Linked DNA regions of Lepisosteus oculatus. The protein of the gene in region 4 binds, or shares a complex with, the protein of the main gene of each other region. Links are inferred from orthologs where the notes say so. Each region holds a gene or a part of one and is shown on either strand. Other genes may lie near its edges.

Region 1 (7,196 bases), on a different chromosome or scaffold from region 4:
CTTGATCTACGACTGTCAATGGACTCCCGGCTCTGATATCATTTAATATCATCAAGAGTGATACCACAGCGCTGGTTTCAATGTCACAGAGCTGCTCTCGGGTCTAGCTGGGATATTTAGCTCCAATTATTCAAAGTGCATTTCTGAGGCTTGCTCTCCAGTATGGCAGACGGATTCCGTAAGAGGAGACTCGTCAGAAGACTTGGACACTTGACTCAGTGTCCAACCCCTGCCTGGACGGACAAGGTCTTCCCCTGTTCACGCTCGAAGGACAGGGTCCAGCCCCACACCTACAGTATTGTCCGCTAGGCCAAGACGGGCGACAGAGTTTGAGAATGAAGTATCCAGGATGCCCAGTTACCAGAAGCAAGAGGAAGTAAAAAAAGACACAGAAATAAATCATGATGACTGCATGCCTGTCAAGAGTCGTGTGACTGTAATTAATACAACTACAAGCTATACTCCAAGTATCCCTGTTCTTAGGACATTTTGCACCAGTAGAGAAAAAAAGGCAACATAAACAAAAAATGTATCAGGGCATCTATTTGCAGAAATTTGCTCCAAGCACAAGAACATAACCTAGACCTGACAATGGTTTCTCACACAAGGACCAGTCAGGTCAGCCTTGGTCCTGAAGGCTCCCAGTCCAGCAGTTTCACAGATGCCCTTAAATCAGCACATTAGACTGGAACAAACGTGAGTCTGATCAGCGCAGTCTTTCTACCCTTTTGTGCCAGTTACAGCCTAAATGGGCTGAGGGGCCTCAAGACATGTGAAACCTTTCCTGGTAATATATCTATGTACCTATCATAGGAAAACACATACTGCTCTGACGTGATTTTTTACATAAGGGTATGAATTCTACGTCATCGACCTGACCTCCTCCCACCCACCTTCTGTTTACACAACACTGAGATTTTCTACTCAACCACATGCTATTAAAAAAGTCAAGCGTTTGTCGATCAGACCGGCGTTACTGCCGTTCTGGTCAGCGGGGCTGCAGCCTGGAGCCGGGCCAGTGTGCAGTGACAGGGCCTTCCCCTGCACATCGCAGGCTCTTGCAATTACTGATGCTCATCCTGCAATGCAGGACGGTCCCATCGAGAGGGCCGAGAGCCCAGGGCCAGGCCCTGCCTCTGCACCTCTCCCGCAGCTCCTTCTTCACACTCCTCCTCCCCCCCCCCCCAGCCCGGAGAGCCAGCGGACTCCAAAACTCCGCGACAGCAGGGAGACGACCGCAGAGCACGTCCCGTCTGCTGCACGGATGACCAGCACACACCTCTGAGGTGCACTCTCGGGACGTCCATTTTGAGGGAGGTGTGCTTTTGAACGGGGGGGAAGAAAGTCTGTGTCTTTAAGACAGAGAACAAGGGACGTCACAGCGCTTTATAAAAGTGCGTGACACGGAAACATTCCGGTGGAAAAACTTGCCCTGATCAATAGTGATGAGGTGAGATTCTTCGGAGGCTGCCGCTCCGTAGATCAAGCGATTTGAGATCATTTGACATGAAAGGCGCTACATACGTGCAAAGAATTGCAAGAAGAAAAGAGCCCTTTCAGGACCAGGAGGTTCTCCTCGGGGTTTTCAGGAAACACACAAAAAAAAAACTTATTGCGGACACAACACTAGTTTTCATTTACGGCTGCGCTCGTGGTCGTTTATCAGGCCTTATTAAAATGAAGGGGGCAGTAAAATGCAAATCTCAGAGAGGAGACAGAGAATCCGGCCAGCAAGAGTGTTATGGCAGTAATTTCACACGGCTCGTGCACATGTACCAGAGCGCGGGTGCGCCACGAGCCCGGCGGCTCGTGTTTGTTTTTTCAGTTGAAAGCCCATTATCTCGAGACGACCTGTCACCCCTCCCAATTAACGACATACGCCACTACCGCGCGGCATTCGCCAAATAATAGTTCTCATTACCAAAATCATTACAGTCCTGGCGTATCGCCACGACCGGCATCTCGGAGACATAGCCGGTGGGGCACAGTCTTCTGTATTTATTAATAAGCGAACACCATTCACCTGCGTTAAAGTCACTTGGCCTCTCACTAACCCCCTGGCTGTAATGAATTATTTACAGTGAATATGACAGGCAACCTGCTCGTTTGTGAGCGGGTGAACAGAATGACTTTCAAACTTCATGTCAGACGCTGAAGGGGTTCATACAACACCGGTCAGACGCGAGTAGGGAGCGGACCGATGGAGGTCCCTCCTCCTCCTCCCTTCTCCTCGGCAGGCCAGCGAGGAAGGCTACCTCGCCCGAGGGGCAGGAGTACGTGAAACATCTGTCGCGATCACCGCGCCTCGCCATACTCCTCTTATTATTTTAAGTCTTTGGGGGGGAAGAAAAGTTGCCCCTTTCGCTTTGAATCCGCCCGGGACAACGCAGACCGGTACAAACCTCGAACAGCTTACGGTGCTGGTACTTCAAAAACACAGGACCGCGTTAACGCGATAAACCCGCAAGACTTACAGAAGCGCCTTCGCCCGAGCAGGTCCAGCCGCCCCGACGCTGGCTGCGAGGGAAGAGGTGCTAAACTCTTCATCCGAAGCGCCCCGCCGTCGTCCCGCCTGTACTCTCCTCCCGCAGGCGTGCACAGTAATGAGCACACGGTCACGGTCACGGTCACGGACGGGACCCCGGAGCGCCAGCGCGTGTGCGCCGCGCGCCCGCCCGACACTCACCTGGGCTGGGAGCCGACACGCGCCCGCGGCCCCGTGCGCGGCGCCAGAGACGTGTGTGTGTGTGTTGGGGGGGGAAGTTCAGCTACTGGCGCTGCAGACCCCTGCGCCCCATCGTCCGCAGGGCTGTACTGTCCAGGGGCCCCCCAGCCGCTGTCGGGTGCTCTCACGCGATGCCAGAGGAAGCGGGGCCGGCTCGTTGTGCGCTCTGCTTCCGCGGCTGCTCCGGAGACAGACGGGTCAGGTTGTCTTCGCTCCAAATTAAGAAGCCGGCGGCAGCGTGCACCCTATCTCCCTCCCTTCTCCCTCCCCCTCCTCTCTCTCTCTCTCCCTCCCCTAGAAGATGGCACTTGCTCTGCTCTGTGTTGCTTCTCACTCGGACGGGTTTTTTTTTTAACTCTTCCGCCGCCGACACGCAGCTCTAGGGCTTGTGGGGCAGACGGGTGGCCGGGACGATCCGGGTGTGTTCAAACGTGTCATAGCTGCTGGAAATAGCCAGCGAGTAAACAGACACCGCCGTCGTCATCACCCGATATCACGACAATAATAGCGATAAACACCGCGCTTATCACTGACAAGTTCACGAGTTCTGTTCTAAAACGTTCTGAAGGATTGTTTTCCCTTCTTGTGATGTTCAGCAAAGAAAGTCATGGACTAGTTGCTAATTCAACAGCGCACAGTTCAGATTCGCTTCTCTGAATGATCTTCGCCTTGCAAGACCCAGCCGGGGAGCCAAGATGGTCAAATTCTGAGGCGCAAGAAGACCCATTTCGCTCAGGGACCCCTCAGTCCCGGGACACCCCATCAGCACTCACACCCGAGGCGGGGGGAATGAGAACCGATCAGTTTCACCGGCTGAAAGTTAAAACGAATTGATATAATTTTCATTTCCACTGATTTCAGGAGTTTCTGCTCCTCGTCGCCCAGGCGACCGCTCGCGGAATAGATTCAATATTACATCCCTGTGCTCTTCCTCCTTAGTGTTAGTTATCTTAGCCTCTCCGGAGTAGAGGTTAGTTTGCCATACTGCTGTCCGCCTCGGGTTTAGGGGAGAGCTTCCGCTATTACTGACTGTTTCGGGGAAGCAGCCGCATGCAGGCGCGCTTGCTCAGATGCTGGGCTGTGTCGCTGGAGACTGTACCCCTGAACAAGGAACAACTCCCGGGCTCTGCTGCTCTGCCCTCGTTTGTTCCCTCCCGGCGTATCCAGCGACAAGCAGGAATCAAAAACGGCTTCGCTCGTTACGGACTCGCCCCTCATGCACGTACGGCGGAGGAGCGCGGCTCGGGCGCTGCGGGCCCTCGGTGTCGCACCGGGCAGTGAGGAAGAGCAGTAGCGGGACGGGCTGCCGCAGACACTGGGGTGCTGTCCTCCGAGGCTTCGCTGACTGACCCCAAAAAATTCAATCTTTACGCTAAGGGTGATGGGAGCGTGGAACAAGCTACCCAGCCAGGCTGCTGAAGCTGACACCCTGGCTGCATGTGTCCCTCGACTGGGTTAGCTCCTAGCTCCTGGGCTCAGGGGCGGGAGGGATGGAGTGGCCTCCTCTTGTTTCTAGTCTTTCTTGTGTCCTTGTGCAGCATTTCATTCTTTCAGCATTTCGTTTCCTCTCCTCTTCCCCTGCGAGCTCCGGGGCCGGGCGTGGCCCAGTCCAGACCAGCCGGGTGTAAGCACTGGGCTCTGGCGTGACCAGAGGGCAGCTTGAATTCTTATTGTCTTGAGTTACAGACATGCGTTCATGGGAATAACCAAATACACCAAACTGGTTTATCATAAATTGGTCTGAAACTGGAACCACATGACCCAGGTGCTCCTTGGGACTAAGACCCAAGAAACCCTCGATCTGTGGCTTCCCACACTCAGTACATCCAGACTTTTTTCAGGGGTGCTACGGAGACGATGTTCCCCCCCGTTCCCACCCCTGGAAGGAGGAGGAGTCGGACTGATGCGGGACACACTGGGCTTTTCGAACCTGCGCAGAAGGCCAAGCTGTTGCGTCTCCGCGAGGCCCCCGGACGCCCTTGAAGCCGCGCAGGCTGGGAGACGGAGGCCCCGGGTTCCAGTTTCAGGTCTGCTCGGGAAGGTCGCGGGAGAGCCGCCGCGCTCGGCACGCAGGGAGCAGGCTGAAACTGGACACCCCGCGGTGCTCTGCGCAGTCGCGCCTGCCCAGCCTGCAGGCCGCAGCAAATAAGGTTATTTTGAGTCTGAGGTGCCTAAATGCTTTTAGCCCTGACCGTATTGAGTCTCGGTAGCGCGGGGATATTGAGATAATTCCATTGTGCATCATTTTCAGTTGTGAGGGAAGTGCATTAAATAAATAGGCTTAGCAGGCCCCGCTGTGACCTCCGTTCCAGCCATTAGGCAGCGGATGAGAACCCCCCAGCGCTCAGGTGGCAGCGCTGGTGCAGCGTGTCCAGCTGTGTGCTGCAGTGTCTCTGTCTGCGGTGCTGCAGGAGCAGGAGTGTCACCCCTCCCCCACCTCTCTGCCCTGTTCGCAGCACCTCGTGGCAGGACCCCTGAGAGCCAAGCGCTGAGGGAAAGACGCTGTCGCAAATCGTGGCGGCAGAACCGTATGCAGTGAAGGTAATTCTGGTGCTCTTTCTGGGGCGATCCGGGGTGAGACGGGACAGGCTCACATACCTGTCCGTGTGGAGTCTGCACGTTCTCGTGTGTGTTGGGGGCTCCAGTTTTCTCCCACCTACCAAAGACATGCACATCAGTATTGATTGGCTGCTCTAAATTGTGAGAGCAAAGGGGAGCTGGATTGAGTGGGATTTCATACGAAGGGGCTATTCCCAGTGTGACCAGTCCTGGCTAACGGAGTGCGGAGAGTACGGAGAGATGGAACTGAATCCTTAAAAATCTTGGAAGATGAGCCAAAAAGCAGGGAGTCCAAGAGTACAAAGAACAGTTTCTATCCATCATGTTTCGTTCCGGGAAGGGAACGAGCCCACACCTCACTGGGAAAATGCCAGAAACCAGGAGTCTGAGCGGGCAGAGCAGGGCAGTGAATATTGCTGGGTCCGGCAGACTGGCAGCCCTGCGCCCTGTGTTCGGTGCTAACTGGAGGAGGAAGGTTGAACGCCACTGCAAAGATTAGCAACTCTGAGGGTGGCATGTCAGCAGCTGCTGGAGAGAAGAAAAGACGTTGGTGCAAGACAAACAAAAAAAATCTGTTTCACGTCTGCTGCCAGGCAACGGCTATAAAAAATGTTCAGCAATTCAGGGAGAGTTAATCTGAGCATTAGGGAAAAAAACATCTGTAAACTTCATGGAAAAAATGAGCCAGATCTTTTTTTTTTCTGAACACAATAAGCAGAAAAGTAAATAAGCGCTTCAGCCTCTGCTCTCAAGAGGCGAGAGGTCAAGGAGAAAAATGTCGTGGTAATCGAAAAGAAGCAGCGCAGCTCTGCACAGGCAGGACCTGCGGGGCTCCGGACAGCTCCAGGCCCAGCTCCAGGCCCAGCTCCAGGCCCAGCTCGCGGCGCAGAGCCGGGAGGCCGTGCGTCTGTCGCTGACCGTTCCGGCGCTCTGAGAAACTGACCGGGGCTGGGTCCAGGCCTCAGGGCTCAGGAGTCACGAGCCACAGCCGGGGGGTGAGACGGGAAGGGAGGTCGGTCGCCCGAGGAGGGCCGATAGGGCCCTGACTTTACACGCTGTCACAGGGGCCGTCCGGGAAAGCAGGGAGTCATTTCCCCGAGTCTGTCCTTCTGCCGTCCTCTTAAAATAAACCGAGACGGCTCAGGAATTTCCTCTCTCCGGGAACCTGGGCACAGAAAATCCCTTTCCCCCCGGAGTGCAGAACTGCCACCAAAGGAGAGCATGGGGGACAGCTGACGGGGGGGACGCTGTGGCCGCCAGTCCGGGGTTCTCGGAGCGCTCGCTGGGTACAGCGTCTCGCGGTTCCGGCAGCGAGCAGGAGCCGGGAATTCCACTGGATCCGGCAGAACTCCTAGGTAAACGGATCCCATTGGTCCAATTTGATGTCTCTGCACAGAATGTAAGCTGCTGGCAACTTAAATGATCCTAGAAGAACAGTTGGACTTCAGGCCTTCTGCACCAGAGTTTCGAATCCTGGTACTAGCCAGTCAGGTCATGTGACACGTTGAGCTATGCGAGACAGGAGCGTCTGAATTGCAGTGGTCATGAGTGTGTTTTTATATTTTGTTGTGCATGTCTAAGCAGCTCATCAAATTAAACTTGATTCGCCCCCCACGATGACCGTTCATGAGGTTGCAAAAATACAGAAGAAATGAAATCGTCTGATGCCCCTTCCTCTCTTCTCTTTCAGGTGGCTGATGGCCCGGACCCCCCTCTCACCTTCCTCCTCCTTCTGAGACTGGTCCGCTGAAACGGCCTCCTGCCCAGCAGCGAGGAAGACCCTTGCAGATGGTTCCCCCCTCACTCCCCTTGTCAACGAAACAAACCTCAGACAGGCCCTGAGCAAAATGAGGCCATTCGTCTCCTCCTGCTCATATGTTTGCTAATAGCTTATTGATTTCAGAGCCCTTTC
Region 2 (7,081 bases), on a different chromosome or scaffold from region 4:
CAACCCTCAATTCCGCCTGCCTGCGCTCCACAGAGCCCTGATACCGGACCAAGCGGTGGCAAAACTCAGAGCCCCGTAAACGACGCGCGGACGAGCATGTGGCTCTGAACACTGCGCGTGAACACATTCGGTCGTCACACCTGAAGAGCAGCAGCTCCCCTCCGTTGTCTATTTCAAACGCTCGCTTTTGTGCACCATTCCCATCTCGCGTTGGACAAATCTCAGTCGCCCCCCCTGCGGACAAAGGTGCTTGGAAGGGGTGGCTTTCATTTCGCTTTCTTTCCGTCTTCTTTCCCAGCCACACGGCTTCCCTCTTTCGAGTGCATGACATTTGCCAGACCAGGGTCAGCTGACAAGCACTGACCTCTCCTTCAGTCCCCGCACTTCTGATATTACCCCCTAAATGACCGCTGCCCTCCCTGTGCTCGTGCTAAATGAACTACCACTTTCCGGTATGTTGACCATCTGCCCTTCATGTATCAGGATTAGGTAGGTCAAGGCGTGTCAGCACACTACCCGTGAAACCCTTGGTTTTAAAGACACGTCTGGCGTTAGTACTGTTGAATGGGTTGTTTTGTTTTTTTTAAAACGCGTGGCTCTTTTTTCAATGCGCAGACTGCGATGCAACAACTTAGTGGCTGGCAGTGGAAAGCGGACGAGAAAGTATCCCCGAAAGTTTTCCCCGTCTGAAGCCTACTCCGAGACCCCGGCGTCCGCTAACAACCGGCACACAGTTCCCGATTCCGTGCCGCGCTCACGGTGCCCACAGAGCCCCCGCAGCACCGGCAGCGGACGCCTTTGTCTGGTTGTTCAAAAAAAAAACCCAACAACGCCTTCTGTCCGGAAAAAAGGGCCAGTTTTACCCCCCGATCGCTTCCGCTCCCTTCACCCGAAAGGGCACAGGGGGGACGTGATTAGGTCCGGCGCAAAACACGCCGGGGTCTCGGGGAGGTTAATAAATCACTCAGCGACTAATGATCGGAGCGGCAAGCATGCGAAGACATGTCGCCCCACCCCCGCAGAAAGACTGGTGTGTGCTCTCTTCAACTTTCCAACATCCATAAGTTAATATCTCGCTGATAGGAAACAATTATCGGCGAGGAGCAGCGCCGTGACGACCGACGGGTGTACTTGGAAAGACGAAAGAAGCGATTTTTTTTTTATTTGCAAGTTCTAATTACATTCACCACACGTGCCCACATCGGTTATTCGTGCCCCGTGCTGCTCGCTCACAGCACAGAGAGCGAGCCCGTCTGCCCTGCACGGGTCTGCAGTTGTTAAAAAAACTCACCACACGCCCCTCACCTGAGCGCGGGGATCTGCTCCGAAAACAGGAACTTCGAAGTTGCTAGCTGACTTCACGGTCAGCAAGGGCTTTGAGGTCAGCTTTACGCAGATCAACACGGACACGTTTAGAAACTGTGGTGCTGTACTTCAAGCGAATGTGTCTTATGACGTTTGCCCCTCCAGACGTGTGAGAAAAAAGATATATTTCACACCGTAAAATGTAGCATTAGCGTGAGTCTGCGGTTCCAAAACCTACTGTGTTGTATGGTTACTACAAAATAACAACTCAAGACACCTCCGATTATTCTCATTATAGTATTATTATCATCACCGATGTTGCAGACCTACCCCATATACCGTGTCCGAAGCAGTAACGCTCTGAGGTTGCGTACGAGTCCAGCGGAGTCTTGCTGTATCTTGGGTTATTCTGAAACCATGCTCCTTAATTCCGTTTGGTTTTGAAAGTCCCCCACCCGTGGAAAGCTGCCTCCCGGAGTGTCAGGATTTCTTCTTTCTTTTTTTCTTCTTCTCAAAACCTGGCCAGCTGTGGACGCCGCTGTTTCTTCTTCCCCGCTTTCCACGGAATCCACGCAGGTTCGCAAACCGGCTGCGAGGGAGCGGAGCCGCGCGGCGCTGGCATTGAGAGGGGCCCTTCCGCAGCGCGCCGCCTCCGTGGGCAAAAGCACGCGGCAAGACAGCGCCGTGGACAGCAGCCACCGGCGGATAAAACTGCGAGGCGACGGGACGTCTTCCGTGCCGCTCTTGGCCTGCCGTACAAATCCCGTGTCCGCCCGACTTGCGCTCCTTCGCAAAGGGAACACTAGTTGTCTCTGAAGCTTTGGAAGCTGGGAGGCGCGCTTCACACGGTGACACACACACACACAGAGCAGCCCTCCGCAGTGCACGCAAAGTCCCACTACGGAATATTATTTTTTTTTCCCAATCAGCTTGGTTTATTAAAAGAAAACAGCGAGGGTGGGGAGAGCTCTCCACTCCTTCTTTGTTTAGAGACCCAATGAAAAAGTGTTTCAGCGCAGAAAAATACTCCTTTTTGTAATCGCAGATTTTTCCCCCCTCTCTCCTGTCTTCTGACTCCGAAATGAAATCCAGATGTTTCTCCCCCCTCTCTCCCTCTCTTTTTTCACCTTTTCGTCGCTGTCTCTGTCGGAGACCGAGACGTGGACGGCGTGGCCAGTCTCGCACCTCTCGGAAAACCTTTCACTCCGGCGTGGCAGCGGCGGGCATAGACAAGAGAAATCTCTTGGGATTGTTTTTTTTTTCATTAAGCGGGAGGAGACTCTTTGAATTTACTGAAACAACTGCTGAAAGTACAACACGTCAACGCACAGCAATGAATGACCCGTTGTTCTGTGGGGCAGAGATAGCGAGTTAATGATTGAACGGGACCCTGCAGGAGCAGTTACCAGCAGGGCTACTCGCCGGGAAGTCTAGAAAGTAGGTTATTCCCTCTGTAGAAAGGTTTGTCACAGGGTGCCCGCGTTTCAGACACATTCGGGGGAATTAGCACAGACTTCAGTTCTCCCTGCTGGTTAACCGCTGCCCTTACTCTTTTTTGAAAACAAAGTTGCCCTGTTTACGTCAACCAAAAGACTGCTTATAGCTGTTCGCGCGCGTTCGTGCTTTTCTTTTTATCTGAGAATTGAGACGTTGCCTGCTTCACATTTAAAAGGTCTCCAGATAAATTGTCCAGTTCTCGATTTATTTTTGTTTATTTTTACTTAACCCCCCCCACACACACACACACCCCGCATTCCCACATTGCGGAACGTGACCCCGCTTTGTTGTGACGTGACGAGACCCCGCCGATTGTCTTGCAGCGGAGCCCGTCTCGCGTTGCATGCAGGTGACGTCATCGCCCCCCCCCCACTGTCACATCTGCCTGCGAATAGCCACGAGACGTATGTCGCGATGACCTCATTGTCACAGGAATCATTAATAGAATGATTAATTATATGTGCACACACCGGCAGTTACAGCGGTGGTAGCGTTTTTTCCAAGTGTTTTTTATTCTGTTTAGTTTAGGTCAAACCACACATACCATTTGGGCAAAGCGACGTGTTTCTCAATTAAGCGGTACAAGCGAAACTGAACCACGCGGCACCCCTTCCACAAATACCCCTCAACCCCCCCTCTCCGCAAAGAGCAAATAGCGGTGAGGACTGCTAACCACAGCAAATCTGCCAGCCGTGTTCGCAGTAGTAGCTGGTGTTACCCATAGCATGCGTTTTACACGTGCTGTGCATTGCCATGTTTTCCCAGAAGGTGCGAATGTGTTGGATGCTTGCTGTGTTTTACCAGGGTTTTACCGTGGTTACACTTCACTCTGATTTCACCCCAGTGTGCTGCCAGTGAGGTTTACTACAGGAGCCAGTGATTTATTTGTAGTGATTTATTTATCGAGAGGAGCCAGTGATTTATTTGGCCTGTGGCCTTCTCTGATCACTGCATTATAAGATAAGATCACTTTATTAGGCCTATACAATTTCTTGTATTAGGAACTTATCTTTTCACATACCTCAACTTGCTTTCCATGAGACACACAGACAGGGAGAGAAGCTTGGGGTCAGAGCGCAGGGTCAGCCATTTATACGGCGCCCATGGAACAGTTGGGGTTAAGGGCCTTGGTCAGGGGCCTAACGGAGTAGGATTCCTCTGCTGGCTGGGGGATTTGAACCTGCAACCTTCTAACCACAGGTGCAGATCATTAGCCACAGAGCCACAGAGCCACCGCTTTGCCCCTTATGGCCTGAAACCAAGTCCGGCCTGCAGCCTTTTCTAGAAGAGAAGGATGACATATTCACAGTGAGCGCGTTCACCCTCCCGACTCTATCCCAGAGTACCCAGTGGAGGTGTATGGGTTTTGCCCCTATAGTTAAACAGTGCTGTCAATCCCACAATGCCCCTGTGTTAGGGTTAATGAGAATCTCAGATGCTGAGTGTGAAGGCAGTGTGTGCGGGGGTGGGGGGACTGGGCTGGACAGGGTGGATGTCAGACACCAAGAGCCCTCTGTTTGTGTTCTGAATGTCCCCTGCCTGATTTTTTTTGTCCTTTTTTTTCCAGCCAGATCTCAGTACTGTTCCTTGCACAGCTGGGGCAGGACTTGGGAGTCGCACACAGAGGTCAAGTGACAGAACCTCACTTCCTGCTGTGGGCCACCACAGACATTCCGCTGTCTGTGAGAACTCTGCTGGCCCTCACCGGGCCTCCACATCTGGGAAAGGTAGCATGTATACACATATAGGGCCGGATTCTTTAAACAGATGTTTGGGCGCAAAGCCCAGGACGCTCAGTGGTATTTTAAAAACGACGTTTCTCAAAAAACACGTTTTTTCCCCCCTTTCTGTTAGCTGTGCAATGGAATGCGTGCTGTGCCATTCATCACCTCTGAATGCAGAGGGATTTGTGAGTGGCTCTGACATGGCGGGTGAAATATTTCTTCTCATGTGGACTACCAAACAAATCCTCCTGCGGACCTACCCACATCTTAATCGCAGCCCCCATAAACAAACAGAGGATTAAATCAGACGAGCCAATGTTGAAAATTCACAAACTGGAGATACATTCTCCTAAATAAGGAAAATCTACTTTGTGTGCGGAGCACAGCGGTTGGAATTTGTGCGTCAGAATGATCACAAGTTTAAAAATGTGATTTTCAGTTGGCTGTCTGTTGAGTTTACACAGTAACCTAACCTGTGCAGCTAAATGGAAATGACTTTGTTTGACAGGTTGTTAATGAAAGCAGTGTTCCTTGATTAACACTCTATTTTTTGCAGGATTTCTTAAGTTTCCTGGCAGGGGAGGTATGGAAAGAAAATCTGGCTGCTGTACAGACCGGTTCTAGTACTGGCTTGCCTTTCGGGGCTCAGATTTGACACTCCGAAGTTAATTGTGGCTTCACCCCGAAATTGACTTACAGGATACAAAAAAAACTAGAACGCGCTCACTCTCGTTCTGCGGCGCCTGGTCGTTGCCGTGGTGATGCCCTTTGTTTAAGACCTGTTTGAGGGGGCGGGGTTGTCGTGGGAAACAATATCATGATGTCACAGTATGGGGAAGGGGGGGTCGATGCTCTCCCCTCTCACGTGCCCTTGTTGTGGGCTTGACTGGGGCGAGGTAATGCTAATTTTAGTGCTGAAACCCAAACCAGAGAACACTGGTGAAAAACGTTGAAGTGCATTTAAAGCCAAAAACAGGAGGCACTCCTTTACACAAAGGGTGGCGGGAGCAGTGTGGAATGAGCTTCCTAGCCATGCAGCTGAAACTCATACCCTATTTTCTTTCAAGCAACAGCGGGATGAGATCCTTGGATCAATTCATTACTCCTTACAAAACGAACAAAATGAGATGAACAATTTCCTCATTTACGTCATTTGTAAACTTTTTGTTATGTTATGTTGAGACCTGGACTGGAGCTGCATGGCGGTGCAGTAATGAACTTTACCACCGGGCAGGGTTGGGGCCCTGGGTTCGATTCCTGCCCTGGAGTGCTGTATGTGTGGAGTTTGCATGGTCTCCCCATGTTCATGTGGTTTCCTCCAGGTGCTCTGGTTTCTAGTAGGATAGTTGGCTTTTTAGAAAATTGGATTGGCTCTGGCTCCCACCGGGACACTGAGTTGGATGAAGCAGCTGGAAAATGGATGCATGGGTGTCTAGGGGCAGTAGAACTGTGTAGTTTACCTCTGCGGAGCCACATTGTAAGAAACTGATCCTCGACTGTGCCAAGGCTGACCCTCCAGTGACCACAGCCTCAGCGCCTTAAGCGCTCTGCCAGTGGCTTTCCACTTTCTCGCGGGCGCATCAAAAGCCTGGCAGCGGGCGTCACAAATGCGCGCCACATGTGTGCCAGCTGTGCCAAGGACAGCTCCGTGGACAAGGGGACAGACCTGCCACCCTGCTCGAGGACACCAGTCTTCCAGTCCCGGCGACTTCAGGTGCTCCTGACAGAGCGAGGCGAAGGAGATGCAGGGCGGCACCCAGTCCGTCAGGTTTTATTGATCTCTTCAAATCATCAGATCAGTATTTAAGGAGTTGGGCTTGCCGACTGTCATCCCGAGAAAGATACCCAGCCTTTTCGTGCCCTGTCCTGAGGACCAGTGTCACAGCGGTTGTTGATGCCTAATTTACCTGCTACCTATTCGCCGAAAGTTTCTTCAAATAAAATAGTCAGCTACATTTTCTGATCTGGTGAGGTCGATTGGCGTCTAGAAATGTTTCCATGTGTGTGTGTTTGCCTTGTGATTCACTTGGCCCGTTCAGGGTGCAGTCCGCTCTCTGTCCCGTGTTTATGGGATAGCCTGCTGGGGCGCTGTGACCCTCACTGGGAAGAAGCTGCTTTCGGGAGGCAGACAGATGTACCTTGAATCAGGTCAGAGTCATTGGTAGCTTCAGCCCCCATTCCATACAAAAGAAATGTAATAGATCCATTGAACCATGAATAACAAAATCAATGGGGTGAACACCTTGGAAGGAAAACAGCATTAAACTGAAGGTGAGCATAATAGAAGGGCTGAAATGAAAGAAAATGCATATGATATTACCTAGAACTCACAACTGGTCGAGGAATTTCTACTGGTAATTCCATTCGATCGGGTGAGTAACAGGGTAGGGTGTTGAGAGTTCACACACATTCTGTGAGCTCTGGCAACCTAAAACACTCATAGCAAAAACTGCGATTCTCACACTGTGGTTATTTCTGGTAATTCAAAGTGGTACACTGGCAACGTTTGAAAACTTTTTGACAAGAAGAGGAAATGTGGATTTTATGCCTGTCGC
Region 3 (7,820 bases), on a different chromosome or scaffold from region 4:
TAACTTTCCAGTTTGATGCCTGGCTATCCAAGCTTTTTATCCCAGTTTTTCTTTATCCTGCATGGAAAAATAGATAATTCTGAACAAAACATATTGCACTCCACTCCTCTTTCCAGCTTTCTGGCATCAGCAGTCTTACATTTCCTTTAAGTCATTTTCAAAAACATTTCCTTCAATTAAGTGCAGCTTTCAAAGGTTTTTCTTTCTGGTATGCATCTGTTAGTGTGATGTATTTTCCTTGCAGTTATTCAAGGCCTTGTAGGTATTATCCGTAACGTGCCTTACATACTAGTGAAGCTAGATTCACAATTGTCTCAATCCAAAGTGATGGATTCTTTGCCAGGTAACACAAGAAAATATATGTTTAAAACAGCAATGCTGCTGTATGGAATTTAAAAGGGTACTTGACAATATAGTAAAAGTTAACTAATTGTTTCCTACGCAATAGCCTGTAAAGCTACATAATATAATATAATAGCTTGCAAAGTGTCACAACGCATTGAAATGAGCATACGGAAGGTGTAAGATCCTGCTGTAATCTAACAAGAACTTTCAAATGTACACATTGTCAGCAGTAGCTAACTAAAATCACAGACAATGATTTCTCTCCATTTAAATTAACATTTTATCTTTATCTCCAGTTATGCAACCCATAACAGACTATTGAAAATGTTGTACCTCATAGATTTTTTATCATAGCGTATTCCATGAAGATCTACAGTGACTGTAAGACATCAAACATATACTGTATATTTAAATGCTGTTCATTAATTATGAAGGTTAGTATCTTTAATAATGACTGGATTACCAGTCTAATTAGCAGCAATATTATTCTACTAGGGACAATAGTTTTGAGTGAAATCCTATCAAAATGTGCCCCAGGAAACAAGACACAACAGTCTATTTTGAACAACAAAGACCATTCAAACAGACAGGAATATGTTTAGCCTACACATGTCACATTCACATACTTATATTATTTCCATTAATATGACCTGTTCGGTTTCCAATTACATCCCACAGTCCATATATCCCATCTACTGCATCCAGGGGCCAGTAGTGTGACGCACTGGCTAAAATTTTCAGACCTGAAGAAAAAGAAGAAAATACTTAACAGCCCATTTTACAATCGAGCTGTATGTGTCCAGCAAGCATTGATTAAGTCACAGGTGTTAATACCTGTGAGAAATTAGGTTTAGTATCAATTTTATTTTCCTGATAGGTTTCATTTCAGAGAAACTCTCAGTAGCTTGTGATCACAAGGCTAAATGTTGAGAAGCCCTTGACATGTCATTGTAAAAATGTATATATCTCGCATATCTTAAGTGAAGGACATATAAGGATGTAAGTACTGTATAATAATGATATATTAGGATGTAGGTATTGCATTGTGTATTATGTCAATTTCAGATTAGTATAGTACTATAACTTTACTTTTAGGATTTGTATCAGTCTTTCAACCAAATCTAATCGATTACAATTTCTGAAGCATTTAACTTTAAAATCATCACATAGCCCTAAGTGCTGCAGAAACAAGAAACAAAAAGGAAAACAGACACATATGTTAAAAAATAAATACACCTCCATATCATAGGTTTAGAGAAAGATGAAGCACTCTGCAACTTAAAGAAAAGCTTTGTTTAAAACTATCACACTGGTTTTAAACAAAATGTTGTTTGGGACATTACAAATATAATCATTTTTAAACCTAATTAAAATAATAAATAACTGAAATCTTAAGCAATGTAAGACCTTTACAATGCTACCTTTAACTTTAGTTAAATTAACAAAACTTTAGTTTAGACAAGCCTTCCTGGTAAAAAATACTATTCTTTACTACAGTGTTTCGTAAAGTCAACTTTCTTGCAACATTAATTAGTTATTTACATTTACTTTATTATCTGATCATCGTATTCTTATTCGTTGACTTAATAAAAATGTATATACAAAACTGGCAAAAAATTAAATTAACTAATATAATAAAAAAACTTTAAATATAAAACATAGACCTAATTTACCTGGATGTTCAGACGGGTTTCCAAATTCACCATAAACCTAAATATAAAAAATACATGTAGCTGTAAAACCCATAATATTGTACATAATGTGTTTTAAAATATTTCGGCGTTAAAAAACAATACACTACCTGAAAGCTGGCACGAATTAAAGCTATCAAATCAATAATATTTTACATAATTTGTTCAAATATATTAGTCGTTAAACAAGAAAAGTAGTTACATTACCTGAAAACGGGCTCGAATTAAAGACAAAAATGTCGTTATTGATAAGAGATGGCAGAGCTTTTCCATAGCTTGGTCTCAGAAGTTTGGACTTGTGCTGGTTTCAACTAAATCCTTTGTGCAGAGTGGCTCCAAAGCGGGTTGATCATCTTCTGCGCTTCTGAAAACGTTCCAGGTGTTGCACAGTTCAAAGCCTTTCTTTCCTTCTTGTGATGATATTAAAACCCCTGATGTATTATAACTCCTTATATGAAAGAAAAGCTCTGATGTACAATCTTTGGACTCTTACATCTTCTTTCTTATAGCTCGTTTTCTCGGTCTTCCAGCCTCTGCGGTGCACCGAGCAGAAAATGATCGCTGCATGGAGTTTTTTATCTGCCAGTTTGGAGCGCTCTGTCTCGTACTCTGTTTCTCGGTGCCTCGCCACAGATTTACTCAACTTGGATGTTAGTGTAAGAATTCACTTGCCTGGCCCCGAGCTCTGTTTTGCTGGGTGGGGGATTTGAAATTGTGATGTCATCCTTTGGGTCCCAGAGAAGTTTTTTTTTCCTTCCCGTTTCGATTGTAAAAGGGTGTATAGACTATGGATTTATGTAATGCACATCAACCTGGCCGTGCCTGGCCATCATTCCATTCGGAGATTAAATACGATTTTTGTAGCTAATATTTAACAGGTAGAAATGTGCGGTGTGACATTGAGTCACGCTCATGAGGACAATGATAAATGTCTACCCAGTATTTACATTTTCGTGTTGCAAACTAAATTATGATGCGGAGATATCTACACCGGTGCTGGTTGAACCCTAAACGCTTTCAATTACACTTTTATTAAGAGGAAAAGGTGCGTGTGTGAATTGTCACATGCCATCATCTCTTGATGGCAATGACGCCTTTGGTGATGTGTATTATGCTACAATCGAAATTCTGATCTATGATGTTATACTTGTGTATTAAAATAATCTGACCATAGACCAATCTGGTCCTTGGGGGCGGTGTGTCAATTTAAAAATGCCGCTGCATCAGATGTGCTGGGAGAGACCGCACAACTAGTCAGATTAGGGCAACAACGACATTAAAGTCGATAAACTGCCCTTCGGCTGATGCCATAGACCTTGGCTCTGTGTGACTGGATTAAAAACCCTTTCTATCAACCACGGAGCTGATCTAACCGGAGACTGATCTAACTGGCCACTCACAATCACTCAAAACATATACTAATAAGATTTGACACAGATCATTTTTATCAAGTGTGAGGTTATTTTCCCCATTTTCTGTAGTGAAAACTCCTGTTGATGGTGTCATTCACAGGTTCCTTTTGATGAGTGTTCCTGTGACTCGATTTTTCCCAAGATTAAAACATACTCTTCCTAAAACATACTGCCCTGTCTTTGAATCACTAATTTTTACCGATTTGGGACACGTGATTGCTGACCAATATAGTTAACATCACTTTGCTATATTCTGAGGTGTAAATTAAAAACGTAAAGTTTCCAGTTTCTAGTGGGGATTTTCTCTTCGTACGATCTCCGAACTATTTGAGCAAGATCACCTGTTCGAGACTGCAAGCGAAATTCGCCAAGCGTTTAGAAACTGGGTGTTTAACAATGACACATAAAACCTAATGGTTCTTCTTAGGACCAGGCTTGGCTCTGTGGAATTTAACGCCTTGTGACTAACATTTTGTTCATCCGCAACATCGTAATTAATTAGTCATTTAATTGGAATCTACTACCTTTGCTCACCCACTGAGAACACTTTGATACATGCGCACAAAGCACCTCTCCTGGAAAGTGAACTTTGCGCTGTGAGAATAAGACGCATCTGTTATTATGGCGAATGGGAGGTTCATTACTATTTCACCGTAATAGCAGGGAGGTTTTGCTAGTAATACAATGTTTCCGCTTCCTTGCTTGGAAATATTGTACTTGCACCACTCCGGCAGCATACACTTGAAAAGCGGTAACTTAGCGCCACCTATTGGATAATTGTTTAAAGATGTAAAGCTATAAATCCACGGAATTGATTTTTAGGCGTTACGTAGCTCGAGCTCATAACTCAATTGCCCAAAGCATTACAATATTTTAATCTCCATTTTACAAAATGAAGATTTTTGTCATATCCGACGATGCATTCTCAAGACTTGATTCTCAACCTATACAGGTGTATCTAGTTGACGTGCAAAGCTTTGAACTCCATTCATACCTGTGCCTCTTGCACACAAGTGTCATAGGTATTCACTCTTGGAAGCGCCCGTCTTCAGATACAGCGATTATACATTCTATCCAGTCACAAAGTTTGTCAAACCCTTATGCACCTTTAAAATCTGCAATGAAATTGGAAGGACTAGTATACATTTATGCTAAACCAAGAGAAACCCAGGACTGTAACATTTTGGGGTGGCGATGCAATTAACAACCGATCTGTGAACCAATGGGAACCGACCAAGAACACTGAAGTTAAGCCATTTGTTTTTTATGCTCGGGGAACTCAGTGAATGAAACAGTGAATCTGGTTTCTCAAAACAAGTTTTATTTTTTGCACCGTTTACATACATTTCACAGGTTTTGAAGGTGGATAAGGTGTGCAAATGTTTCAATACTAAACCTAAGGCATAAGAACTAACAGCTTGATAAGCATCAGTGGCCTCTTGAATAAGATGTTACACCAAGTCCACAAGCTAAAGAAAAGCTCTTTATCTTGACAAATTTAATGCATTCTGTACTGAATTTTAAGACCTTTTTTGGTTAAATCTAAAAAAAAAAGCCTCTATACGAGGTACCACTGACACCCCAACGATCTTACAAGGTTTTAAGTTAATGGTTGGCAATAGTTAGCAATCAAGGTGCATTCTTCAGTGCCCCTTTTGTTCAGCAACATACCATCTCTTAAGACAGCCATCAATCACACTGTAGGTTTATTTAAAAAAAAGTCAGGTTTGGTTGCAAAAGGTTGAACTGTACAGACTAGAGCCAAGACAATTTGGGTTTAGTTTCCTACATATTTAGGATTGTGGCAAGTGTGGTCTGACTTGGCGGGGCTGATTCAATTTACAACGTAGTTGAGGGAATCCGTAGATTCACAAATTTCACTTTAACATAAGATGCAGTTTTACGGTATTTCCATTCTGGATACTCCACTTTACACTTTCTGAAATAACGAATACTAGCTCAGGGACACATAATTACAGATCTATAACTCCGGAGCAAAATTGAGCTTTTACGCATCTGGCACATTCTATCTTACTAAGCCTTCATTGATCAGCCCATTTCAATTAGGATCAACATTAAAAATAATGCTACAGAAAAACTTCACAGCAACACTTAGACCTAGAAAGGCTCCATTTTACAAATATTTAAACCGAAAAACATCAAACAAATGAAAATCTTGAAACTCCACAGCAGAAAAATACACATGGCCAAACTGAGGTGCTGATAAGTATCAAATGCCAAGAATAAGAGAACATTTGAACTGCTTTTTGATTACATAATTTAAGGAAATACTCATGCAGCAGCTAAGCATGAGTTACACCACTTTTCACATTAGACTTCATATTTAATGTGCAATGAAAAATCCTGAGCCAATTGCTTTCAAAACTGAAACAACTTTATTATGTATTAAAAAAGGGAATGAGTAACAAGTGCCACCAATGTGTATTGTTTACTGCAGAAGGCTTATAAATTATCAAAATTCATAAGGGGGCAGAATAGTTGCAGTCCAAAAAGCCAAGTTTTATGCAGGTCCAAAGTAGTAGGAATTGATTTGTATTTTCTCCATCACACTTTCACACCGAAATCCACACTCTCTTCAGCCGCTCAAGATTTTTAAAGCACATATATAAGTGTTCTGTGGAACTACTGCGGGAGACGAGCCGCGCCACCAAGATTTTCACAGACAGCTGCCTATAAAACTAGACGGCCGGTGCCTGGCTCCAGCCGCACTCACAGGTCATCCTCATCATCTGGCAAAGCAGTAGACTGGGCAACCTGTGGAGGGACAATCAAAAATGCAGTTGATATCAGCCCAGCTTAACTGAACAAACGTTTGATACGAGATCGGGGCCTCTAATTCAGTAAGCATGACTTCTGATATAACACTTAAACTTCTCCTCTCAAAATCAACCAAGAGGTGACAACAGTATGCAAAAGCTAATGCGCCCCATTTGATGAGATTGTAATCTGTTTAGTACTCTTAGCACAACACCTGTGGACATCTGTATAGAAGGCAAAACAACCTTGGATTTACAAAATAATTTTCAGTCTGAGTTGGAAAAAAAATCATGTATCAATTTAAACAATAATTCTATCCACAGACCAAGTGAAAGGATTCAGTACATTATGCCACAATCAGTGTTTGAAAGAAGTTAGGTTGCCACAAATGAAAGTCCTGGACAGAGATCATTTAAAACAGTGTTATTAAAATGTTAAGTCTAAAACCGGCTTCGAGGATTATGTTTCTGGTGGAAAAAGACATCCGAGCATAGTAAATTAAGTCATGTATATCAATACACAACTTATAAAATTAAAGATGAACAATGACCTGGTCTTAAGCATCTGTAAAACTGCTCCTTTTAGCAGTGTTGTTGGACACATAAAAGGAGTGAAGGGAGGAAACTAAACCCTAATACATTAAACATACAGACTACAAAATTAAGAAGATCAAGTCAGCATCATACCTGTAAATCTTGCTCATACTGTGCAGCCAGTGCTGGATCCATAACAACCTCAGGTGGTGCCAAAGCAGGCATTGCCACAAACTCCAAATTGGGGTCTCCAATCAACTTCCTGGCAAGCCAAAGGAAGGGTTTCTCAAAGTTGTAGTTGCTTTTGGCAGAGATGTCATAATACTGCAAAGAAAGACATCATTAGCATCAGCCATTGTAAATGTGGTATATCCATACCTGCTTACAATTTTAAAATAAGCCACTGTAATAAATATTTAATGTTTTGTGATATTACTTTAATCTTTCTATGCCTCTCCAAGTCCACTATTCAACAAAAGACCCACCTGAAGGTTCTTCTTTCTATGGAAGACGATGGACTTCGCTTTCACTTTTCGGTCTTTGATGTCTACTTTATTGCCACACAAAACAATGGGAATATTCTCGCAGACTCTCACCAAATCTCTGTGCCAGTTAGGGACATTCTTATATGTTACCCTAGATGTTACATCAAACATAATAATGGCACACTGGGCTGGAAAAGAAAAAAAAGGACAGTCAAGAAGAAATTCACACCATTTGTAACAATCAATTTAAAACTTCCAATTTTGGTACATCCTAAGTGGGCTGTGCCATTAATCATAACATCCCTGTTAATCAGGTGTTTTAAATTTATATTTAAGAACAACTATTTCATTCATAAAACCAGTTCCTTATTCCAACCCATCATTTAAGAATGAACACATTGTGAACTTACCTTGAATGTAATAGCCATCACGAAGACCACCAAATTTCTCTTGCCCAGCTGTGTCCCACACGTTGAATTTAATTGCACCTCTGTTGGTGTGAAACACGAGCGGGTGGACTTCAACACCCAAAGTAGCTGAAGTTACAAAAGAAGATGCATCAGTGCCAATATCCAA
Region 4 (7,807 bases):
CAGGGTTCCCGTTTCAAACACATGACTGACCCAGAACCCAATCTCCTTCGCTCTTGCCATCACAGGATGACAATACAAGCATTTCAGCTCGTCTGGAAATCCCCCCCATCAAAGCTGTAGCTGAGGGGGTGTGGGGCCACCCCCAGCTGCAGGATCTCGTGCGCCGCTCACACACGCAACCACCTTCTAGCCATCCCAGCCACTGAGGAAGACCAAGCAAATAACTACTGTTCACTCTTTTATTCCTGGGAACGAGGAAAGGGTTTATTCCCTGCTAAAAGAAGAAGAAAGCAAAACAACGTTTTGGCTGTCGAGCCTTCTTCGGGTGTGATCCTATCAGAGAGGTCAAAGACTCATCAATAATACTCCGTATTTAAAGAAGTAGGGATAAATTCCAAAGCAACATCTTGCATTACTTATCCCTCCATCCATCTTCTAGCCACTTCATCTAATGAGTTCCAGTGGAACCAGACCCTATCCCAGCGAGCAATGGGCTCAAGGCAGGGTACACTCTGGATGGGACGCCAGGTCATCGCAGGCCACACACACTCACACCAGTGCCAATGTGCCCCAGAAGCCAAATAACCTACCAAGGTGTCTTTGGACTGCGAGAGCAACTCACGCAAACACAGGAAGAACATACGAACCCCAGGCAGATAACACCCCGGGTCAGGAACTGATCCCAGAGCTCTAGCGCCGAGAGGTAGCACAACACCACTGTGCTGCTTTTGCAAGGCTTGTACCATTCAAAATTAATTATACACAGTTACATGAGTCATAACACATGATCTCGTCATTCAAGGGCTATGAATTACTTTACACTTTCACACGCCGATTTATTGTGCTAGGGGAAAAAAAAACTCTGCTCTGCTCCAAAATTAATAAGAAAAGAGTATCAAAAGAAGCACGCAGCAAAGCTATAGCCTGACCTATCCAATAATGCAATGTGTGACACATGGAAAGGTCATGCAGCATGCTGCACAAAGAGGGGGGAAGGATCTTAGCAAAGTCAGAGCTCTAACAGGGAAAACTCCACCTCCAATACGAAAAATACACCTAGATATTCACCTTCCCTTTGCGGTCTTGTGACCACAAAAGCTCTAAAGATAGAAGAGCTTGGAAAACCTTGCCCATCGCTAAATGTAGCAGTAAAGGGAAAACAAAATCATTCAAACAGACGGTCTGAACGGATGCTGTAGGTTGTCTATTTGAACAAAGCCAAGCCAGTCCCTTTAGAATTCTTACTGCCCAACAAAGCCTTTTAAACCAGTACTTCATGCACGGCTGCTTCTTATTTCCCCCTAAACCACTCATTTTTACTGCACCCTCACTGAAGCACAACTCTCTTTGAATTCACGTTAAAGAGTTTCTGGTTCCGTCACAACGACACTGTTTCCCCCCAAGTATACAGTACAATCATTATCTGTAAAACAGGTCTCTCCCTGACAGAAATGTTGCTTATAAACATCGGAACAAGCGACTCACTTGATGTCACTGAGGAAAAAAGACTCATCTGTGCGTCTGGACTGGCCTCGGCCTTCTCCCCCCACACCGGATATGGCCACTTGCTTCCCTTCAGAAATGTGTTTCTATTTCTTTAACACTGCTCATGCGACCTCTGAAACCGGGACAACACCCTACAGCTATCACCTTAAATCAAACAGAAGAGTCTGTAGATGCGAATCGCCCCGCCGCCGTCTAGTTACACATCCAGTAATTATTAACGTTCGCTGCAGACAAAACCTGTTTGAACACCAGTAAAGGAAAAATTCAAGGCAACTGAGAAGACGAGATAACCCCGGGAACGGGCCGGACGACAGGAGAAAACTCCTGAATTCCGTCTCAAATACTTCTACAACAAACAAAAAAAAAAAAAGAAGGGGCAACCCGCTTTTTTAACCTTCCCTTGGCAGGACATTTTTTTTCTTTCCAAGTAAAACACTCAAATCACTCGTCAGAAAACTTAAAACGGCACCGCCAAGCCCAGGTTTCACCAGGGGGAAAAAAAAAGACTCTCGGCTTCACTGCAAACAACTGAAACCGTGCCCTCGCTTCTCACAAAAAAAAAATGAGCCAACGAAACATAGTAACTGTTTTCAAAGAGTCATCCCCAACTTGGGCGTTTCACCTCTACCCAGATTGCGTTACATCGCGGTGTGAAATGCAGATATCTGGCTTTTCTTCGCTGCAACGCGTGGATACCGTGCAGAGCTTTTCTGATTGTGCACCGTTTACAATAGCCAGGCTTCTCCGGCAACTTTTGAGTGGCTAACCTCCCCAAAAAAAGTACCCACCAAGGGGGAAAAAAACAACAACTCCTCGTGCCAGATTTCTTGAAGGGGGGAAAAGAAAGAGAAGCGTGATTACACACGAAAGACGAAAACGTGAATTAGCGCCCGATTAACCCCCCTTCCTTGTCTAATACAACCAAATAACATGGGCGTTTCTTCTCTCTACGGTCGAGGGGATGTCTCCCTAAGAACACAACTTTACTTCTGACCCGCTCCTCAAGTGCGCAACTCGGCCGTTTAAGAAACGTTCCCTCCCCCCTCCGAAAACCCCGAAAACGAACCCCAGTCGGGCCGGACGACTTTCTTTTCCGAACTTACCTTTAATTACATTGCTGTAGATCGTAGCCCGGAACTCTTCCTTGGCCCTCTGATCGAAGTCCTGGCCGTGGATGATACGCATTTGCTTGAGGAAAGTGGACTTGCCGCTCTCTCCTGCTCCGAGCAGCAGGATCTTCACCAGCCGCTTCACGTACGTTTTATCCCGGGAAATACATTTGTCGATCTCCTTGGAAATTCTCAGCTGCTCTGCCTCGCTGCTGTTAAGAAGGCAGTTAGGAAAACAAACTGATAAAACGGACCGAGACGGCAGGAAATCCGCCATCTTTGAAGCAACTTCATCGATACAGCAGGGAGGGAAAGGGCGCGCCCCCGAGAGTCTCAGCTCCGAGGCGGGCGGGGCGCAGTCGCATTGTAAGGGCGCGCACGAATGCGCGGCGTAACTTCTACTGTGGTTTTAATAGGGGGTGGGGTTTGGAAAGAGACGTAGAAGCGTGGCCTTTACTTGGTTGGATGTGGAAATCCGTCATTAAGGGCTCATTTTTGATAAAAATAAAATCAGATTGAAACTCGTTGCTGTTGCAGATGCGACTCCTTGTAGACTATTACATCCAGACGCGCAGGTCGACAGAGCTTCTATAAAGCGTTGGTCTTAACGGGCTACTGCTGCACCAGGGTCTTTCTTTTGTTTTGGGGATCCCCTGCCTGAGGAAAGAGAAGACCCCCGCTGGGAATTGTCGGGATCCTCCGCCCCTGATTGAAACCGAAAACCTCAGTGTCCCAAATTAAACATTATTTAATAGTTTTAGAAAATGTCACTTGCATTTAAACCCACAGTTAAGCAAGGACAGCTCAGCTCTTTTGTAGGTGTTTATCCTGCGAAATTCTAGTCGCGTAATTACTCATTTCCATTTTCATCAGGGACAACGATAATCCTTTGTTTATTGTTTCAATAAGCGTTTGTTTCTACAATATGAATTGTTCAAAGTCAAACACTACAGTTCAGTTAAGATCAGTCTCGGACTTAATAGTATGCAAAATAATCAGAAACAGAAATTGTTGTTTGTTAGATTGATGTATATAATAATATATGTATTATTAATAGGTAAAGTTTTGTTTTCTCACATTCATTCATTAGCTGCTTCATCCAATTCTGGCTTGCGGGGGAACTTATCAGAGCAAGCAATGGACGCAAGGCAAGGTGCACCCTGGACAGGGCTCCACCCCATCGCAGGCCAGCACACGCATACACTCACACCAAAGACACTTTTCCCAGAAGCCAGCCTGCCAGCACATCTTCGATCTGTGGGAGGAAACCCGAGCACCGGGAGGAAATCCACATGAACATGGGGAGAACGTACAGACTCCACCCAGATAGCACTGTAGGGCTGGAATTGTACCCAGGGCCCCAGCACTAGAAGGCAGCAATGCGGATCACTGCACTACTGTGCACTGTGTCAATTCTGTTTTCTCCTGTCCCATATTTCCAAGGTACAAGCCTTACCCAAAGGAGGGTTCAAGGATGGCATAACCCAGGGTGGTGTCCTCATATCTGAGAAAGTTGGTGGGGATCTCCGTTGTGGAGCACACACGGATGGAGAAAAACACAGGCGCACAAGGAACAGCCTTTGTTGTTTGACTGCACAACAGAGGAGCAGTCAGCGAAAGATAATATCCACCACTTTGCTATGATCAAGAAAGATCATTGTACGTGGGTGAGCCTCCTAGGCATATTTATGAAATGTAATAAAATTATCACTTCAATCAATTTATGAGTGAAACCGTTACAGCTATGAACAAGTCAAGTGCTGTACAAGAGCAGTCAGAAATGCACAGTTGTCTGTGTGAGGATATTATGCATTAATTCTCTGTTAAAAGCTGAAAAGAGACTGAAGATCTCAGTTTGAGACTGAACGTTTTCGGAGAGAACCAGGGGGACCCGATACAAATATTCAAGATCCACAAAGAAAGTAAACCCAGCAGAACTCTTTAGAATTAACTGTGAATCACAGACCAGTGGGCATTGGCAGAAACTGGGGAATTCATGCCTAATGCCTAATTAGGAAGAGAAAACAGGAGATACTTCTTTACAAAAAGGGTTGAAAGAGTACGGAACAAGCTACAGAACCATATTTTTGAAGTCGGCACCCTGTTTTCTTTTGAGGAATGGCTGAATCTGATTGTTGGATTAATTGGACTAATTGAATGAATTGCCAACCTGCCTAGAAGGGCCCAATGGTCTCTTCTCCATCGCAGCAATGCTTATGTTCTAATTTTGATTAGTTGAACAAGAAAGAGAGAAATCCATCGGAAATGAGACAATTCTAATGGAATGCACACGAATGGGGAATATTACCCAAGCAATTGTTACATGAAAGATGAAGGTTTTGTGATTGTGTAAGTACTCCTGAAATAGCCCACACTCTTATGCAACATGGAATTTTTTCATATAACATCATTATTGCTTTTACTTGCTTTCTTTTGAGTCATTCAAGTCATTCAATCAAGAAATGATTATTTCTTCAACTATTCCTTTCTTCACAATGGCCTGACTATCAGTTATCTCAAGGATAAATAACATGAACAAATTCTGGCTCGCTAGTCAGTGAATCAGTTTCTTCTTAACTGTTAAGTAATCTTCTTTCTTTTCTTTTTTTGTTCATAACAAATGAATTAACCATTTATTTTTTAAAACCGCTTCTTCCAATCAGGGTCGCGGGGAGACCGGAGTCTCCCGGTAGGCCATGTTGATGGGGCGGGTTTACACAAGCACATTCACACCGGGGCTGCTTTTCCCAGAGGCCAATCAACCTACCAGTATGTTTCTGGACTTCAGCAGCGATGCTAACCACTGTGTCATCGTGCCGCGTGTGAATATTATGCTTATCATATATATATATATTTGTAATATGAAAAATAGTACCCTTCAGTACGTTTTATTATTTTCTTGAAAACCAAGAAACATTTCCTGGGTTCTAGTACATCACCCAGCATTGTACAGGACACGCAGGAAACCAAATGCTCTGTGCTCTGAATGGTCAACAAATGTGGATATGTTCCCAAGAAGAAACGAAATGGAAAGAAGCTACAAAACTTGAAGGCAACATTAAGAAAAACAATAAGAAAGTTCACCTTAAAATATCGCCGACAGGGGGCAATGTGTTATCGATCGATGGTATCTTTAACATGGCAACGAATACCGTATATGATATTGCAGATGTATTTCAGGAAGATAACAAATTTATGCAGATATGTGTGAGGCAGTGACGTTTTCACATTCTGAAAAAAAAAAGATTTATTGAATTTCCATAGTTGTGTAGGAATGAAACTGTAAGAACAAGAAGTTGGGCTGACACAAGTAAAGGAGCACCTTAAAGGGGTCAGTATTATAACTTTCTCTTCCTAACTTAAAATGTGCATTTGACGCAAAGATTGGGGAGATTATGGGATGGCGGTTTGCAAAAGTGGAACTATTGTGACATATTAGGGCTGAGTAGGCCACCAAATTAGAAGTATATAAGTACACAATATTAAAAACAGTTAGCGGGAATGGATAGTCCAAATATTACATGGCTTACAATGTACTAGAAGAAGCTGCTTCAAATGTTAAACTCTACGTTGCCGTCTATCGGGCAAGTTTAAGAAGTGCAGTGATGCTGCCGACAGAGGTGACAGGTTGTGAGAATAGAGCCGAGTTGTGATTGGTTGGGATATCAATCCCAGCGCTTTCTTCATATTCGCTGTGGTTTATCACTCTAACAGGCGGCGTGTGTGCAAGAGGAGAGACGCCAAGACCGTCTGTCCCTGCGCTAGTTTGCTGTCTTTATCGTTGTTTTTGAACGCATTGCTTTCTCACAGCTAACGACAGCGACAGGGAACGCAAATATGACTATCAACAAGCTCTGTGATTACAGCCAGCATTATCGACCTCGGATGGCGTGTCTGAAAAAGGTAGGCTTGTCATACGAGGAATACCTTGGTAACAAATCAGAAATTGCGTTGTATAGTATTGTGCATTTATCGGTACAGCCTGTTGTTTATCTCTATAATTGTATTCCATAAAACAGTAGAAATTAATATCAGGTTACCGCTATGTATACACGTCCTAAACATTTGTGCATATATATGAATTTGCTTAAAGTTTGAACCCGAGAAAGTTATGATCCTTTCCAGTAATTGGCCTGAAAAGATTTTATGTTCCTGATGTTTAGAACGCACAAGCAGGGTACCCTTTCGCATTGTCTGGTTTTGTTTTTGGCGCAGTGTGCTAGTGTTGGTCTAGTAGTTTTAGTTTTATCACGATGTCCGTAAAAAATGAAGGAACGCGATCCCTTGCTCAGTTATGTTTACTTTTCTTTTGTTGTCTTTCCAGTGGTAGGTGCAGGTGTGGCTTGGTGTACAAGCGTGTTTTTCTGCAACATATTCTAATTTTGTTCTCATCCACCACATAAAACGTAAAAACCCCGTCATCTAAATATAGGCATGCTTAATCTATTTTTGTACAAAAGCTAATACTTTCTTGCCCATGCGCAATCTATCTCACCTATAATGAGACTAGGGATCTTTCACGCCTATTGGAAGCGGGATGCGAATTTCCATTCCACGTGTTTTAGGTATAATTAATAGCAACAGGGCATTCAAAAAGGCATTTGATAAGCATTATTTGACTTTTTAAAATTACCCAATCTCTATCTTTGTTCCAAGCCTTGAATTTAAGGAACTGTTGTATTATGAAAAGAAATGTACACATCACCTGTGTAATGCACTTTGTGCATTTTAAATCCACTAATTCACAGAGCTTTCCACAGTTCCTTAGACCTTTCAGTGATGACATGATCACTCCCTGAATCAAGCCCCTTAAAATGCACTCTTTCTTCATCGACAGGATATTCCCTTTTAATGTTCTATTGACACAGTCCTTATCTGAGCCATAATCTGCCATTGCAACATCAATCCAATGTGGAATTCCCTCATTCAGTTAAAGTGTATTCCACTGGTGCTACCCCTCCATCTCATCACCCTTTCCATTCCCAGGATCATCAAAGATAACGGCTCCATTTTACAGGATGATGCCTTAACTGGAACACTTTCCAGTCCCCCCTATCATCTCATACTGCTGATCACCTAACCTGTGCAACCTTCATGTCCCTTACCCACCCAGAGTCACATCCACACCAGGAACCTTATGTTGTAACAGAAGCCACAGCATCGCCTGCAAATATGTATCCAGTAACATGTAC

Evidence for each region. Proteins that work in one complex are often made in the same cells at the same time.
Region 1: the proteins of gna13b (region 4) and gpr4 are in contact, whole or in part, in a cryo-EM structure (PDB 9JHP), measured with the Homo sapiens proteins. The link is inferred for Lepisosteus oculatus from reciprocal best matches to the Homo sapiens genes GNA13 and GPR4. Residues at the interface, in NP_006563.2 of Homo sapiens: Arg47, Pro341, Tyr343, Phe359, Lys363, Asp364, Ile366, Leu367, His368, Asn370, Leu371, Lys372, Gln373, Leu374, Met375, Leu376, Gln377; in NP_005273.1 of Homo sapiens: Gln45, Asn50, Arg115, Ala118, Val119, Ala120, Pro122, Leu123, Ala126, Ile204, Val208, Ser211, Val212, Ser213, Thr214, Glu218, Lys221, Ile222, Leu225, Asn290, Glu291, Gly292, Ala293.
Region 2: the proteins of gna13b (region 4) and s1pr2 are in contact, whole or in part, in a cryo-EM structure (PDB 7T6B), measured with the Homo sapiens proteins. The link is inferred for Lepisosteus oculatus from reciprocal best matches to the Homo sapiens genes GNA13 and S1PR2. Residues at the interface, in NP_006563.2 of Homo sapiens: Arg47, Val216, Phe359, Lys363, Asp364, Ile366, Leu367, His368, Asp369, Asn370, Leu371, Gln373, Leu374, Met375, Leu376, Gln377; in NP_004221.3 of Homo sapiens: Ser66, Met68, Tyr69, Leu72, Arg130, Ala133, Ile134, Lys136, Val137, Lys138, Leu139, Tyr140, Tyr209, Ile212, Val216, Ser219, Gln227, Thr228, Leu231, Leu232, Val235, Tyr288.
Region 3: the proteins of gna13b (region 4) and adgrd1 are in contact, whole or in part, in a cryo-EM structure (PDB 9V0U), measured with the Homo sapiens proteins. The link is inferred for Lepisosteus oculatus from reciprocal best matches to the Homo sapiens genes GNA13 and ADGRD1. Residues at the interface, in NP_006563.2 of Homo sapiens: Val49, Val216, Phe218, Phe359, Val362, Lys363, Asp364, Ile366, Leu367, His368, Asn370, Leu371, Gln373, Leu374, Met375; in NP_942122.2 of Homo sapiens: Asn599, Arg601, Leu657, Met660, Val661, Ile662, Val664, Phe665, Ser667, Val737, Ile738, Ile741, Ala761, Val764, Asn810.

What each region holds. Positions count from the first base shown.
Region 1 is NC_090698.1:1,583,057-1,590,252, forward strand, and holds the start of gpr4 (G-protein coupled receptor 4), read right to left. Parts: upstream 3,007-7,196; 5' UTR 2,687-3,006; intron 2,675-2,686; exon of another isoform or gene 2,475-2,674; intron 1-2,474. UniProt on the Homo sapiens protein: Proton-sensing G-protein coupled receptor activated by extracellular pH, which is required to monitor pH changes and generate adaptive reactions. Activated by an optimal pH of 6.8-7.2.
Region 2 is NC_090706.1:15,452,077-15,459,157, forward strand, and holds the start of s1pr2 (sphingosine 1-phosphate receptor 2), read right to left. Parts: upstream 3,007-7,081; 5' UTR 1,636-3,006; intron 1-1,635. UniProt on the Homo sapiens protein: Receptor for the lysosphingolipid sphingosine 1-phosphate (S1P). S1P is a bioactive lysophospholipid that elicits diverse physiological effects on most types of cells and tissues.
Region 3 is NC_090717.1:8,653,949-8,661,768, forward strand, and holds the start of adgrd1 (adhesion G-protein coupled receptor D1), read right to left. Parts: upstream 3,007-7,820; 5' UTR 2,310-3,006; coding exon 2,244-2,309; intron 2,056-2,243; coding exon 2,019-2,055; intron 1,089-2,018; coding exon 972-1,088; intron 1-971. Other genes in the region: GTP-binding nuclear protein Ran, read right to left, coding at 6,179-6,223, 6,913-7,083, 7,245-7,432, 7,655-7,780. UniProt on the Homo sapiens protein: Adhesion G-protein coupled receptor (aGPCR) for androgen hormone 5alpha-dihydrotestosterone (5alpha-DHT), also named 17beta-hydroxy-5alpha-androstan-3-one, the most potent hormone among androgens. Also activated by methenolone drug.
Region 4 is NC_090704.1:39,941,722-39,949,528, forward strand, and holds the start of gna13b (guanine nucleotide-binding protein subunit alpha-13b), read right to left. Parts: upstream 3,004-7,807; 5' UTR 2,893-3,003; coding exon 2,610-2,892; intron 1-2,609. Other genes in the region: regulator of G-protein signaling 9, read left to right, coding at 6,453-6,518. UniProt on the Homo sapiens protein: Guanine nucleotide-binding proteins (G proteins) are involved as modulators or transducers in various transmembrane signaling systems.